Linked DNA regions of Saccharomyces cerevisiae S288C. Changing the gene in region 3 together with the main gene of any one other region gives a genetic interaction. Each region holds a gene or a part of one and is shown on either strand. Other genes may lie near its edges. The genes, in order: ESC2, ROF1, UBX4 and NAB3.

Evidence for each region.
Region 1: mutations in UBX4 (region 3) and ESC2 together harm fitness more than expected from each alone (negative genetic interaction), as found in Saccharomyces cerevisiae (3 studies listed by BioGRID).
Region 2: mutations in UBX4 (region 3) and ROF1 together harm fitness less than expected from each alone (positive genetic interaction), as found in Saccharomyces cerevisiae (one large-scale study listed by BioGRID).
Region 4: mutations in UBX4 (region 3) and NAB3 together harm fitness more than expected from each alone (negative genetic interaction), as found in Saccharomyces cerevisiae (2 studies listed by BioGRID).

The regions. Positions count from the first base shown.
Region 1 is NC_001136.10:1,197,664-1,201,122, reverse strand, and holds ESC2 (Esc2p), read right to left. Parts: upstream 1,941-3,459; coding exon 570-1,940; downstream 1-569. Other genes in the region: transcription factor TFIIIC subunit TFC6, read left to right, coding at 2,426-3,459. UniProt on the Saccharomyces cerevisiae protein: May be a substrate targeting component of a cullin-RING-based E3 ubiquitin-protein ligase complex RTT101(MMS1-ESC2). Involved in HMR and telomere silencing via the recruitment or stabilizing of the SIR (silent information regulators) complex.
Region 2 is NC_001140.6:454,736-458,476, forward strand, and holds ROF1 (Rof1p), read left to right. Parts: upstream 1-1,855; coding exon 1,856-3,217; downstream 3,218-3,741. Other genes in the region: FMO1 (N,N-dimethylaniline monooxygenase), read left to right, coding at 1-792.
Region 3 is NC_001145.3:403,754-407,541, forward strand, and holds UBX4 (Ubx4p), read right to left. Parts: upstream 1,821-3,788; coding exon 570-1,820; downstream 1-569. Other genes in the region: SOV1 (Sov1p), read left to right, coding at 1-484; AVO2 (Avo2p), read left to right, coding at 2,551-3,788. UniProt on the Saccharomyces cerevisiae protein: Involved in CDC48-dependent protein degradation through the ubiquitin/proteasome pathway.
Region 4 is NC_001148.4:184,817-189,415, reverse strand, and holds NAB3 (Nab3p), read left to right. Parts: upstream 1-1,690; coding exon 1,691-4,099; downstream 4,100-4,599. Other genes in the region: GUP2 (putative O-acyltransferase), read right to left, coding at 1-262; COA2 (Coa2p), read left to right, coding at 903-1,109. UniProt on the Saccharomyces cerevisiae protein: May be required for packaging pre-mRNAs into ribonucleoprotein structures amenable to efficient nuclear RNA processing. Binds to poly(A)+ RNA. Appears to act in the maintenance of CLN3 mRNA levels.

The DNA.
Region 1 (3,459 bases), on a different chromosome or scaffold from region 3:
ATTGATGCAGTTACACTACCAATTCTTGCCCTTCAAATCACCTTAAAGGATGATGGCTTGAATTTTATTTTCTGCTGATCTCGTAATTTATACAACCTTTTAGCGTTGATATCATAATATTATGATGAAACGAATTATTTTAATTGACTGCTGTAGCAACAATAGAGAAGTAGTTTACCTCTTGTTCCAAGAAAACTATAGCCGAGGAAATATCAAATTGTTTTGATAGTTGTTCTACGTTAGATGTACTATTCAAACCTAGCACGAAAAAGCTGAAGAGATTTTTGTATTCATTAGGCGATCAAATTTTTATAGAAAAGCGTTAACATGTTGAGTTAGAGATGGAAAAATTCCTTTATAATATTTCACGGAAGGTAGAAGAGGGTCAGCACCTACTTTTTGAACAGAGAATTACCCGAGTATGATTTAAACACAAAAGGTCTTATTCAATTATATTCAGAAAATATTTTACAAGTACCGCAAGCACCACCAACACACCCGCCGCCCATAGTAAATAATAATTGTGGCACGTAAAGAGCCGGAGTTCGGCCTTTTTTAGCAAATTGCGCTCAATCAATAATGACATCAACCATGTCTTCATCTTCCATATCCTGATCGGCTATACACTCATTCATGTCCAATTCATCATGATCAAAAAGTAATTTAACCCTCGTCTTTTGTGGTAACTGTTTCTGGATTCTGTAATATTCGGCAATTTTAGAAAATGGTGTTGAACGCCTAACATGGACATAGATTTTTTTGTTATCTTGACCCATGAGAGCGATTCTCATAACTTCTTCCATGCTACTACTATTTCCTGACAAAGAGCCACCCTCTTGCAGAAGTTTTGTATTCATAACTGTATCATTTTCTTTTATTTCTTGTGTTTCTTCTACGTTTTTTAATTCGGATTCAAACTCGCGATATTCGGACTCTTCTTGTTCATTTCTCTTTTTCTCTAACTTCCTTTCCATCTCCTGACGTTCTTTTATGAGTAAAGCAGCTTCTTCTTCCTTTAACTTTGATTCCAGTGTCGCTTCAAAGTTCTTTTCGTATTCTTTGGATACGATAGTAACATCGATATCAGAGACTTCATTTTCAAAATCCTGTGGGATATGTAGCGAATTACAAGTCATAAAAGTGAGTAATTTTGCATTGTTCCAATAAAGAGTAACATTCTCTACCTTGTATATATCTTTCATTACCTTCGGAATTTTATAGGACTTCATCAATCCGTCCAAAGCAGCAGGAAGTATTTTTGAAAATTCGTATTTTCCGAGGACCTTCACTTGGACCGCTTTATTTATAGTTCCTTCTAGCTTAGAGAGAAATTTGATGTTATAAACTCGCTTCCGCTGGTCGGGTGTCGATTCTTTAGAAATAGTGGTGCTTTTTTTGGCTTCTTTAGCAAGTTCCTTGAAAAAGTCATCGTTTTCATCATAGGTATACAGTAATGAACTTTTCTGTCGCTTGTATTTTCCCGCTGGAGATATTGATCTTATGCTTGACCTGGACCTTGACCTAGATCTGGGAAAATTTTTGTCTTCGTCTAAGTCAGATTCAGATGAGTTTATTTCAACTACAGACTCTTTCATCACAGATCTTCCTCTAGTTCGACCCGATGGTTTGTCTGGCTTGGGCTCCGTAATATCTTCTATATTTACATTTTTACTAGATGATCTGCTCAGGGACTGATGTTGTTCCTTTGCGTCGCTATCTTCACTATCAGATAATGTTAGAGTTGAATGCTTTGATGGCGGTACCGTGACTTTAGAGTCAACTATGACACTTTGCCTATTACTTTCATCGCTATGATCGATTTCATCTATATCATAGGAATTGTCCATAAAGAAGTCATCGCTGTTTTCATCAGAAAAACTTGTATTATCTGGATCTAGATTAATTGAGGGTTCGCTGATGCTTCTGGAATCACCGGTCATCTGTTAACAGCCTAAAACAAATGATTTTTTCTCTTGCCTTTTATTGTTCAGGGCTATAATCCGTGTTCGCAATCACTTTAAAATGAATTCTGAAGTAATAATGAAAAGTTGTTCTATTTCAATTGCGATATACGCTGTCAAAGTGATATATGGTATTGGGAATTCATAGGCATGCTGGTCCCTCCTCTGCCTGTCATTTCTTTTCTTATATGCTACAATAAAATTTGCTGTCTTCTGTAAGGAAATAGAAGGGATTCAGTATCACCCGGAAAGCTGCGGTTCGAAAACCCTACGTTGCAAAAGAAGATAAACAACATTCCATTTTTTGTTCGAGAAAGCCTGGATGAGTTGTTAAAGCTTTGATTTCTACTCAGTAAGAGCAGTTTCATGTCCTAAAAACTAAAGCTAGTACTCTTTGATCCATTAGCGAAATTTCTCTAACTTGCTCCATTGCGATACGTGTAATAATATATTAAGTTGTGGCGATGGCAGTAATACCGGCAAAGAAAAGAGGAAGACCTAGAAAATCTGTGGTAGCAGAAGTTCCCTATGATAGCTTGGCAAGCCCAGTATCTGAAAACTCAGGCAGTAAAAGGCCGAGGAGAAACGCATCTAAGAAAGCAGTTGCAAATTTCGCACAATTAGTGCATGCTGGTCGCGATGATGTGATAAATACTACACAAGTCAATAATGTTGATGACACCGACGATGATGATTTTGTATTGAATGATGAAGGTGATGGTGAGGAAAGTGACAATGTTGAGATAGAATTTGAGAATGAGTTAGAGTCTACTAAAAATGAGGTGGCGGATTTAAACAGTAGTGGAAGTGGAGCTTCTGTTAGACCCAGTGGAAGAAGAAATACTGTACAGAAACTTCGTTTGAAGAAGAATTCGACTAAAAATATGAAGAGCAGCTCCCCAGGGTCAAGTCTAGGACAGAAGGGCCGTCCCATCAGGCTCCTAAAAGATCTTTCGAGTGCAAGAGACAAGATTGAAAGAATTTATGGACTGAATAAGGAAAAGTTATTGTTGCTAGCAAAAGTTAAGGAAGGCTTTGAAACTAGCGTTTTCGATTTCCCATTCAAGAATATTCAGCCTGATTCTCCATATTTTGTATGCTTAGATCCACCGTGTAAAAAGGAAAGTGCATATAATAAAGTCATAGGGGATAAAAACAGAACCGTATATCATGAAATTAATAAGACTGAATTTGAGAATATGATCAAATTGAGAACGAAGAGATTGAAGTTACTTATCGGGGAAGTTGATGCAGAGGTATCCACTGGCGATAAAATAGAGTTTCCGGTGCTTGCTAACGGCAAAAGGCGCGGCTTTATTTACAACGTAGGAGGATTGGTAACAGATATTGCATGGCTTAATATAGAGGAAAATACTGATATAGGCAAGGATATACAATATTTAGCCGTCGCGGTATCACAGTACATGGATGAGCCTTTGAACGAGCATTTAGAAATGTTTGACAAGGAGAAGCACTCCTCCTGTATACAAATTTTCAA
Region 2 (3,741 bases), on a different chromosome or scaffold from region 3:
GACAATAAGGGCGCCTTTCATTCTAAGGATTTCAAAAACTGCGAGTTTGCCCGTGAAAAAGTCGTTATTGTGGTGGGAAACGGCAGTTCCGGCCAAGATATTGCCAACCAACTAACTACCGTTGCAAAGAAAGTATATAATAGTATAAAAGAGCCTGCGAGCAATCAACTGAAGGCCAAGTTAATCGAGACTGTCCAAACAATAGACAGTGCCGATTGGAAAAATCGTTCAGTTACTTTATCTGATGGAAGAGTACTTCAGAATATAGACTACATTATTTTCGCCACAGGCTATTATTACAGCTTTCCATTTATAGAGCCCTCCGTTAGACTGGAAGTGCTAGGTGAGGGTGTTACTGGCGACAAGCACTCGTCTGTCAATCTGCACAATTTGTGGGAGCACATGATCTATGTAAAAGATCCTACGCTGTCCTTTATCTTGACCCCGCAGTTGGTCATCCCGTTCCCGTTGTCGGAACTACAGGCGGCTATTATGGTCGAAGTATTCTGTAAAAGCTTACCGATAACTACAACTTTCGACTCTAATGCCTGCGGAACGCACAACTTCCCAAAGGGAAAGGACCTGGAATACTATGCAGAACTACAGGAACTACTGAATAGCATTCCACGTAGGGTCGGTCATTTCGAACCAGTTGTATGGGATGATAGACTGATCGATCTAAGAAACAGTAGTTATACAGACAAAGAAGAAAGAAATGTGCTTCTAGCGGAACACGCACAAGCCCTAAAGAAAAAAAAAGCACCATACTTCCTTCCGGCGCCACATACTTAACGTAAAAAGGAATGTACTTGTATAGAAAAAACACATATTGTGCCGCTTAATATTTCGTTTCCCTCATGTATATACCTTATCGCTGTTAAAATAAGAAATCTTCACTTCTGCTATCTTTTTTTTTCAAACATTGATTAATAATCCGGCCGTCCGCAGATTGCTTACGCAGAATATACCGTACCGCCACCGTAAAATTAACGAATACTTAAATTTCCGCCTCTTCCGTTTCGGCAATAGCGAACCTTAATGTAAGTTTTTAAAAGGCAGCGCCAAAAATTGCTCTGAAAGGCCTGCAGTGCTTCGCGGCTACGCAGTTCCCATGTAAAAAAAAAAGAAAACTTTCTTTTTGAATCTGGAAAATCCGCACAGGCGCGCCAGCATAAACCTCAGTATCCTGCAAAGGCCATCCTTTTAAAGATCTTAACAACGTATGAATCTGAGGCAGAGAGAAATTAAGCGATAAACGTTCCTTTTAGACTTTCACTTTCTTGGCCGTCATTTAAAAAAAAATTATCTAATAATCTCTAATTTTAAGTTGAAATCACGCTAACATATGACTATGACTATTAACCTTTTTATGTGGAAAAAAAAGGAAGAATATGTTGTAAACGTATTTTAGCCTTGTTCCCGGAACTTTAATCACTCTGGCAACTTTTTAAGTAGTCTGTCTTTTTCTCGGTCGTATATTCCTCAAAATTCAAGAGGAAAGAGGAAGTGAAGAAGAAAGCCTAGAAAAAAAAAATAGGCATTAACACAAAAACGCACCTAAGGGACTGAGGAAAATCAAAAAAATGATAATTGCAGTTAGTAAATCTTCATAATCGACGCCCACTTATTCTTTCTTTATAGTACCGGGTAGGCGGGTAATTCATACGTAGCTGCTGCGGGAGAACTACTATGTATCATTCCCTGTTTATTTGTATGAATTATTATTTAATACGTACATTCTTGTAAGCCCTTCTTCAACAAAACAAACAAATAAAGCGAGAAAAAAGGGAACCACGAATTAAGATAATTAATCAAACAATAGATAGGAAAAGGAGATCGACGAGTAAGCGTAAGAATGATGGATATCAGCCCTACCTGTTATGGGTACATCGACGACGAGCAAGATCTAGCCCTTGTTTTCCAGGGCGTATTCAATGGAAATTTGAGATGCATCGAACGGAGGCCATATGATGCAGAAAAGGTTGAATTAGTCAACCCCGGAAACATTTTTGTTTTCAACGAAGAGAAATCCGGCATCAAAAGATGGACAGATGGTTTTTCTTGGTCTCCTTCAAGAATTTCAGGCAAATTTCTCGTATATAGAGAGTATAATAGGCTGGGTTCCACGCACGATCTACCGCTGCATAATGTACCTGAGTATAATATCTTCGAGAGGGCTCATAGGAAGTATTTTTATACTGGACTACTGAAAAAAACATTTTCTCTAAAATTCAATATGGATCCCACCGACAGCACTAAGCTGGAAACATTTCATCTTATTGCGTACTATACGGAAAAGGATATTCATCAAGGAAGTTTGAGGAGACCTTCAGAAAATCCTTTCTTCCATAAATTTCGACCTTCACAGAAACTATTAGATGCTTTACAAAAAGTTGCTGTAGGAAATGGCAGATCTAACCCGTCTAAAAATAATGAGAGAGGCAGAACCAAAGCTCATAATTATAAAACGCGCAGGTCTTTATCATCTTCTCCGAGCTATTGTGATCTCTTGAGCAATTATAACAACCATCCTGGAAATATTCCAGTTAGGACCGCAGTTCAGTTACCTTTAACCACCTTCAATAACGCTCCTCGAGAAATGCACCAACAGCAGCACCGACAACAGCAACAATATCTCTTACCCATAGATGAACAGAATAAATTACCTCTCCCGTATATGCAGCACCAGCCACAACCAATTGGTGTTTACAATCCTAACTATCAGCCTGGATTGAGACGTACGGTCTCACAACCTATGATTTTCTGCAATACATACAATACTCTCCCGCAACAACCTACTGCAGCACCTTATGAACGGCGTGGCGTGTCGCCTTCAGTGATATACTCCTCCAATACATTGAGCCCAATACCATACCAAAATATCGATCCATACTCTTCGAGGTCGGGTCCTGAATGCAATCACTCTAAGGCGCCTATCGCCCCAACAATGATGCCCCCAGTACACCATATACTTGTGCATGATTACCGACAACCAAAACCAGTCACAGATTCTATTAATCCTCCAAATGTAAACATAACCACCTCCACAACCAACAAGAACCTAGATGGCATTTATATTTTGCCAGCTCCTCGTATGAATCCCCCGGCTCAAACACAATACCAAATGATTCATGCGCCAGACAGCATGCAACATCCACCAACATTTAGTAAAAACAACACATCAAGCAATCCTAAATCCCACCAATACTCAAAGTAGAAGATCAGCATCCTTTCAATTGCTGAAAGGTTCACCTAAAGTACCGCTCATATTCCAAAAGGATTCTTCACTACATAGAAAGGGCAGCCAATTGTGTGTTTTTCAGAAAGGGTTTTAAAAAAACAGGAGGGTGCTTGTTCTTGTTGTTCCCTACCATCGATGGATTTCGAAAAACTATTTATAGGACCATCTGATTTTCACCTCCATCATTGTATCATATACTAACAAGCATATCCAAATTTGTAATTCTATCATGAAATTTCCAGAGAAAGAAACGCAAGGGAACTGAGAAATCAAACCTAAAAACGGTTCTTGGCATTGTTATGAAAAATGAATAAACCAGGGGGGCAAAACAATCGAGAACCCCAATCAAAACCATGTGAGATACCCACTTCGAAAGTTACTGATATTATAACTCTTGTGTCCTCTCTTCTAATACCTTACTTTCACCTTTCTCACGTAGTTAAAGTTGCAACAACACATTTTGTCCTCATCCAATTTCTTCTATAGAATATCCGTTTGCC
Region 3 (3,788 bases):
AGTATTGTTCCAAATGACGGCAGAAAATGGTGAAATTTTGCCAGACAAAACTTTTTCTAAATTAATTGTGTCCACGTTCATGAAAAGCGGGGATTTAGAAGCAATACCTGCCATATTAACGTTTCTAACGAAAAAATTTGACTTGAATATTGATTACGATTTGAGTATGTATATTCTAAAGGGTTTGAAAAGACAATATTTACGAGATATTAGTAACATCAGTAAAGATGCTTGTGAGTACAAGTTACGGAAGGCGGAGCTAATGAATAATGAGTCAATCTTAAAAAACATTCCACAGGGTACAAATCAAGAGAATACAATATCCCATTTGATCAGGGAGATTTTGATCTTTATAAAATGGAAGGAAAAAAGTGATTGTTCTACTTTCTTGATGGTAGAAGATGCTTTTAAAGAATTAGGAACAGAGTTTACTTTACTCGAAGAATTAATAGAAGATGTAAATAAGTTAAAGATAAAAGCCTAAAAAAACGGATGCATTTTATATAATTTTAGCTATACGTGTACATATTTGTAATAAAGTTAAAAGAGGAGACTGTTTAGCTTTGTATTTATTTTTTACTTAATTTCATCCATTTAGGTACTCTATTTAAAGTCTTTTTGATACTTGTAGCGTTATCAGAAGGGCCCTGTGGATTGGATTTATTTATCGTATTAACTGATGGGGTTGTCCTCGTTTCGTGTGTGATTTTTTGTGCGTCTTCCAAAAGATGAGCCTTTATTAATGGGCCATTAGAATTTGAATTTGTTTCAAAAAGCAGCATTGTTTTAGAGCCAAATTCCAGGTCATCCAGTAGCTTCTTATCGTCTTTAGCCAAGGGTTTGAAAGGATGAGATTGGTTTAACGTAAAAGGCATGTTCTCATCGATCAGGAACTGCGACACGACGTTATAAACTGTACGCATGTCTTCATTGGGTTTGAATGCTATTTGAATATGGCTTCTATCGGGGAACTTGACTCTCAGCAAACACTCAGATATAGCCTTATTTTTCTTTGGCAAGTTGTTGGCTGATTGCTCTCTAAGTCTCTTTGTCAAAATAGGACCACCCAAAGTACCAGCCTTCGATGATAACATTTTTTGGTATTTCTTGGCTTGTTCTACTGTCAATTCATAATCTTCTTCATCCTCGATTTGATCCTTGATAACTGCTAATGGCTCATCCGAGGGCAAAAACACAGAAGGTTTATGTAGTTCGTGAGGTGGTAGTGAAGCAACCGTTTCCGGGTTCGTCATCGTAGGGGGAGTTTGTTTTGGGTGAATAGCGCTATTAGCGCTAATGCCCTCAGAATGAGATGTATTATTAAAAATCAATCTAACTGACGAAGGCTCCTGAATCCCTAAATTTTCGAGAGTCAAATTCTCATCCTTAATTGTTTTGAACTCTATTATCTTGGAAAAGACCTGGATCTTAAAATCATCTCCCGCAGCGCCGCTCATCTGTCGCAAGATAGGGGCAATTGGTTGGTCAGATGGCATTTCTTTAACCACGGAATCTCTTCCTGGGATTTGAAACCGTATTTTGATCGTATTGAATGGAATATCTTCGCGGTTGGTCTTATTCGCCACCGGAAAATTACTACTTTTAGATAATTCTAAGTTGACACCCGTTGGTAAGTTTAGAAGCCTCCATGGCAAATCTAATGGCACCGGTTTATCCAAATGTATCAATGACCAGTCGTTTGACGAGGTGTGCAGTTGAAAGAATTGTATGGATTGGTGTAACACATCGTTTAGTGTTGAATTCAACGAAACTTTACATTTGAAAAGTTGGAAGTTATACTTCACGGTAACCATAGGCATTGTATTGTGCGCTTATTAGTCTGCCTTGCTATTCTTCGCAGTACGTAGATTTATCTTAGTTTTTGCATTTTTTGGTTTTCTTTTTTTTTTGCCACACATAGTACAATAAAAGAGAACTTGAATCTTTGAAGAAACGTCTAAATTAACATCGAAGATAGAAGACAGGGAAACATCTAGGATTGCAAGAAATAGTGCTGAAATTTTGTAATAAAGTTGCAAGAAATAGCATCTAGCGTTTTATAAGGCGTACATCTTTCTTGGCAAGAGTTCCAAGAGAAAAGAGGAGCAAAACAGCGGTTGAGGCGCCCGCTATCTTGAATATTATACAGTTTCTTTAAAAACGCTTGTACAACACTGCATAAACATGGACAAATTATTGAAATTGTTTCAAGATATTTCCCATATCATATTCCAATAGCGTTACTCTCTCATCGCTTATTCTGGAATCATTATTTTAATAAAGATAACTCACACGATATACGTGTACTGAGCTGACCTTTATACCTACCCTTACCTGCTTATTCCTGATAAAAATGTTCGTGCAACTAATTGTTTGATTTCTCTTGCGGCCCGGTTATTCCGGAGTTGATACTTTTTTTCTTCTGTCTTAATTACGTTTTTTTCCTCTAGACTTTTTTGATCTGGTACAATTGAAAATGTATAAATCAACTGGACCCTAAAAATAAAAAAAAAAAACGCCCATTAGAAAAGAGGATATATTGAACAAAAGATGTTGAAAGAGCCCTCAGTTCGCTTGCGGGAGGCTATTATTGAAGGCAATTTACTTATAGTGAAAAGATTATTGCGACGGAATCCGGATTTGCTAACCAACATAGACTCAGAGAACGGATGGAGTTCATTACATTACGCCTCATACCATGGAAGATACCTTATATGCGTGTATTTAATTCAGCTGGGGCACGACAAGCATGAACTAATAAAAACCTTTAAAGGAAACACCTGTGTGCATTTAGCATTAATGAAAGGGCACGAGCAAACCTTACATTTACTTTTGCAACAATTTCCGCGATTTATCAACCATCGCGGAGAGAATGGTAGAGCCCCCATCCATATAGCATGTATGAACGATTACTACCAATGTCTGAGTCTGTTGATAGGAGTTGGTGCTGATTTATGGGTAATGGACACTAATGGCGACACGCCGCTGCATGTATGCCTGGAGTATGGCAGTATAAGTTGTATGAAGATGCTTCTCAATGAAGGTGAGGTGTCCTTGGATGATAATGTCAGGGACAAGGGAAATTGGAAGCCAATAGATGTAGCACAAACGTTTGAAGTAGGTAATATATATTCAAAAGTGTTAAAAGAGGTGAAAAAGAAGGGGCCACCGTTGGGTGCAGGCAAAAAACCAAGTTCATTCAGAACTCCTATACTAAATGCGAAGGCCACTTTCGAGGACGGGCCTTCCCCAGTTTTAAGCATGAATTCGCCATATTCGCTCTATTCCAATAATAGTCCGTTGCCGGTATTACCAAGAAGGATATCAACGCATACAACAAGCGGTAACGGTGGGAATCGGAGGAGTTCTATCACAAATCCAGTATTCAACCCACGAAAACCAACCTTGTCTACGGACAGTTTTTCGTCAAGCTCAAATTCCAGCTCGAGACTAAGAGTGAACTCCATCAACGTCAAGACTCCAGTAGGTGTGTCGCCCAAGAAAGAGCTTGTATCTGAATCAGTACGACACAGTGCAACACCAACAAGTCCGCACAACAACATCGCGTTGATTAATAGATACTTGTTGCCTAACAAGAGCAATGACAACGTGAGAGGAGACTCACAGACAGCTACAATCAACGATGACGGTGGCGGCGGCAATGGCGGTGATGCCACTATAGGAATGGGACTAAGAAAGGACCCGGACGATGAGAACGAGAACAAGTACAAGATTAAGGTAAACAATGGCGAGCCGAGGAGACGAGTGTCACTTCTGAACATACCCAT
Region 4 (4,599 bases), on a different chromosome or scaffold from region 3:
TGAAAGGAACTACTACGGTGAACGCCAAATAATATAGTCTAAATTCCCATGTATTCCATAGCGGAGGAGATGGGCTATTAGAGCTGAGCACAGGGTTACGGGTAACAGTAACGGCACTAGAAGATGAACCATTCTCTTCTTTAGATGAATTGATAAATATCCTTTGTCGCCTTTTGAATTCAATGTCTGGCTTTATTCGTGAATCAAGTGCCTGCACGGAAAAGAAATGTACGATGCAACTCCAGATTCTTAACATCGACATCTGACTTGTAGCGATGACGTCAATTATTTTTGAGCCCTATAATAAGGTAGTTGAGAAGACAAATTTGAAGCACCCAAAAACCCTCAAAACAGTACCTACCTCAAAGCTAGCTTCTCTTTCTTCTTCTATTTGACTTCATTTTTTCCATATTCACCATTGGTACCTTCCATAAACAACTATAACGCAGTACAAATGAAAAAAGAAGAAAAAAAAAAGAAAAAAAAAGAGACCTAAACGCGCCAAGATTACAGGTAAACGAGTAGAACTTTGATCTATGTGCCTGAAAACCCCTCGGGCACAGGGTTCATAACGAAAAAAAAAAAATCGTAAGTAATGGTAACCATAGTAACCGATGCATGGGTTTTAAAAGTCACGTGCTTAAGTCCATTAAGACCGGAAACCTCTACACCAGTTCTCCTTCTGCAAGGGTTTTCTTTTTTTATTTTTTTTGATGGGATGGCTCTCTTTCCCCGTGTTTGTACTTTTGATATATATAGGATATTCATCAAAACAGCGTTTCGAACTCAGCGCTTGCACGATAACATAAGCACCTCGAGACACATTAGGAAAATTTAACATCCTATTTATTTATTGAATTTACAGGCACGGAAGGCCAATTAGTTTAATTCAGACACATATCATGAGAGCAGTCACTAGAAACAAAATAGTCAATAACCTATACTTTTCTACATTTCTCATTGCATTCGCATCAGTGGCCATCGGTTCTGTGCTGCCATGTCCAGCACATTCAGTGGATTCTGATTCACCAGCTGTACAGCAACACAAGCTTCAGCTTGCTCATGAGCAGGAGTTAAAGAGGAAGGATGCTTTAAGTAAAAAGATTTAAACAGGTACGGGCTATCTGGAACTTTTGATAAGTTGTATTCTATCTCTTTTATTTCCTCTTTTTATTTATTTTCGAGTGCCGTAATCTTCGCTACTTCAAGTTTCATAATCAATCGACTTTCTGTATGGGTAAGCATCTGGTGTGATGCAGTTTCATTATGACACCACAAATACAAAAGAGACTATTTAAATATGTATATAGATCACATTCCAAAAAAGAAAACCATTAATAATATCACTCTTTAATATTCCAAATTGAAACGAAAAAGCGCTATTCTTATTCGCTTCCTAACTACCGCCCTAGTTCGTGCTTGCATTTTTTTGTAGAACGATAAATTATGGTATCCCACGTGATTGAGTGTAACCCTGAATTGTTGAAGAGAAAATGAAGCGGAAGAAGCAAAGGACAAAAAACAATTCATTTGATTTTGCCACTTCTAAATGAAGGTCTAATAAAAGCTATCTTGAGCATCTTTATTAGATTCTGCACAGCAACAAGCGATTTTCTTTGGTCAAAATATAATAATTGACTTACGTTTTTCCCGGACTGTCCTTTCATAATATAATAACCATCTGCAAGCCATGTCAGATGAAAACCATAACAGTGATGTTCAAGATATTCCTTCACCTGAACTATCCGTCGATAGTAACTCTAACGAGAATGAATTGATGAATAACTCAAGCGCAGACGATGGAATCGAATTTGACGCCCCAGAGGAAGAAAGAGAAGCCGAAAGGGAGGAGGAAAATGAAGAACAACACGAACTGGAAGATGTGAACGATGAAGAGGAGGAAGATAAGGAGGAAAAAGGAGAGGAAAACGGGGAAGTAATAAACACAGAAGAAGAAGAAGAAGAAGAACATCAACAAAAAGGCGGAAATGATGATGACGATGATGATAATGAAGAGGAAGAAGAGGAAGAAGAGGATGATGACGATGATGATGATGACGACGATGATGATGAAGAAGAAGAAGAAGAAGAAGAAGAAGAAGGCAACGACAACAGTTCGGTAGGCTCAGATAGTGCCGCTGAAGACGGTGAGGATGAGGAAGACAAAAAGGATAAAACCAAAGATAAAGAGGTCGAACTTCGCCGTGAAACATTGGAAAAAGAACAAAAGGACGTAGATGAAGCTATAAAAAAAATAACTCGTGAAGAAAATGATAATACTCACTTTCCAACTAATATGGAAAATGTTAATTACGATCTTTTACAAAAGCAAGTCAAGTACATTATGGACAGTAACATGCTAAATTTGCCTCAGTTTCAACATTTACCTCAAGAAGAAAAGATGTCTGCGATTTTAGCAATGTTAAATTCAAATTCTGACACAGCTCTTTCCGTACCTCCTCATGATAGTACTATCTCAACAACAGCTAGCGCCTCAGCCACAAGCGGCGCAAGAAGCAATGATCAAAGAAAACCTCCATTGTCAGATGCCCAAAGACGTATGAGATTTCCTAGGGCGGATTTATCTAAGCCGATTACCGAAGAAGAACACGACCGTTATGCAGCCTATTTGCACGGTGAAAATAAAATCACCGAGATGCACAATATTCCTCCGAAGTCAAGATTATTCATTGGTAATTTGCCGCTAAAGAACGTTTCTAAGGAGGATTTATTTAGGATTTTCTCTCCATACGGTCATATCATGCAAATCAATATCAAAAATGCCTTTGGATTCATTCAGTTTGACAACCCTCAAAGCGTTAGAGATGCAATTGAATGCGAGTCTCAAGAAATGAACTTTGGCAAAAAGTTGATCCTGGAAGTTTCTAGCTCGAATGCTCGTCCTCAATTTGATCATGGTGATCACGGTACAAACAGTAGTTCTACTTTTATTTCTTCCGCAAAACGACCATTTCAAACTGAATCTGGTGACATGTACAATGACGACAATGGTGCTGGCTACAAGAAATCCAGAAGACACACCGTTTCTTGCAACATTTTCGTTAAAAGAACCGCAGATCGTACGTATGCCATTGAGGTTTTCAACAGGTTTAGGGACGGGACTGGTTTGGAAACTGATATGATTTTCTTGAAACCAAGAATGGAACTGGGAAAGCTTATCAATGATGCCGCATATAATGGGGTGTGGGGCGTTGTTTTAGTTAATAAAACACACAATGTAGATGTTCAAACTTTCTACAAAGGCTCACAAGGTGAAACGAAATTTGATGAATATATTAGCATATCCGCTGATGACGCAGTTGCCATTTTTAATAACATCAAAAACAACAGAAATAATTCTCGTCCTACTGATTACCGTGCTATGAGCCATCAGCAAAACATATATGGCGCTCCTCCTCTTCCTGTTCCAAACGGCCCAGCTGTCGGACCTCCTCCTCAAACAAACTATTACCAGGGTTACAGTATGCCTCCTCCACAACAACAACAGCAACAGCCATATGGTAATTATGGGATGCCACCACCATCCCATGACCAAGGATATGGTTCTCAACCTCCAATTCCAATGAATCAGAGCTACGGTCGCTACCAGACTTCTATTCCACCACCACCTCCACAACAACAAATTCCTCAAGGGTATGGTCGTTATCAGGCTGGTCCGCCTCCTCAACCACCTTCTCAAACTCCAATGGACCAGCAACAACTATTATCTGCCATTCAAAACCTTCCACCTAACGTTGTATCGAATTTGCTTTCAATGGCCCAACAACAGCAACAACAACCTCATGCTCAGCAGCAATTGGTTGGTTTAATACAATCAATGCAAGGCCAGGCTCCTCAACAACAGCAACAACAGTTGGGTGGATATTCCTCTATGAACTCATCCTCTCCCCCTCCTATGAGTACCAATTACAATGGTCAAAATATATCTGCAAAACCCTCTGCCCCACCAATGTCACACCAACCTCCGCCACCTCAACAACAACAACAACAACAACAACAGCAACAGCAACAGCAACAGCAACCTGCTGGCAATAATGTTCAAAGTCTATTAGATAGTTTAGCAAAACTACAAAAATAGACTCCCTTTTTTCAATCTTTTCCATTTCTTGTACATTATACTTGAATTCTTTTAATTGGACGAAAAATTTTTAAGGAAAGTAGATTGATATGGTTTGCATAAATTCGACATAGCGGTTTATGCTTTAATCGTTTTCCCTTCCCAAATTGGACTAGGACTTAATTCTTACTATTGCTGCATCTCTTTCAGAACGAAAAACTCTTTACCCTGTTATAAATTTCTTTTATTTCTTCCTTATCAAATGCTATTTGGTCTATTTATTTCACTTACACGCACCTCTTCATTTGTTTCCTCTGCCAAGAGAATGGCTTTTCATTTCTTTTTCTTCTCTTTAGTTAAATGTTCTTATATCAAAACTTTGTAAAATTGCTTTGTAAACAGATTATTAAGTACCGCTCTATTTACCCCATAACGAAAAGAAGTTCCGCGCTTAGGACACCTTTCCCTAGAGGTTCTTGTTTGATTTGTTTTAGTCATCTGCCTGTCGTTTATTTTAGTTT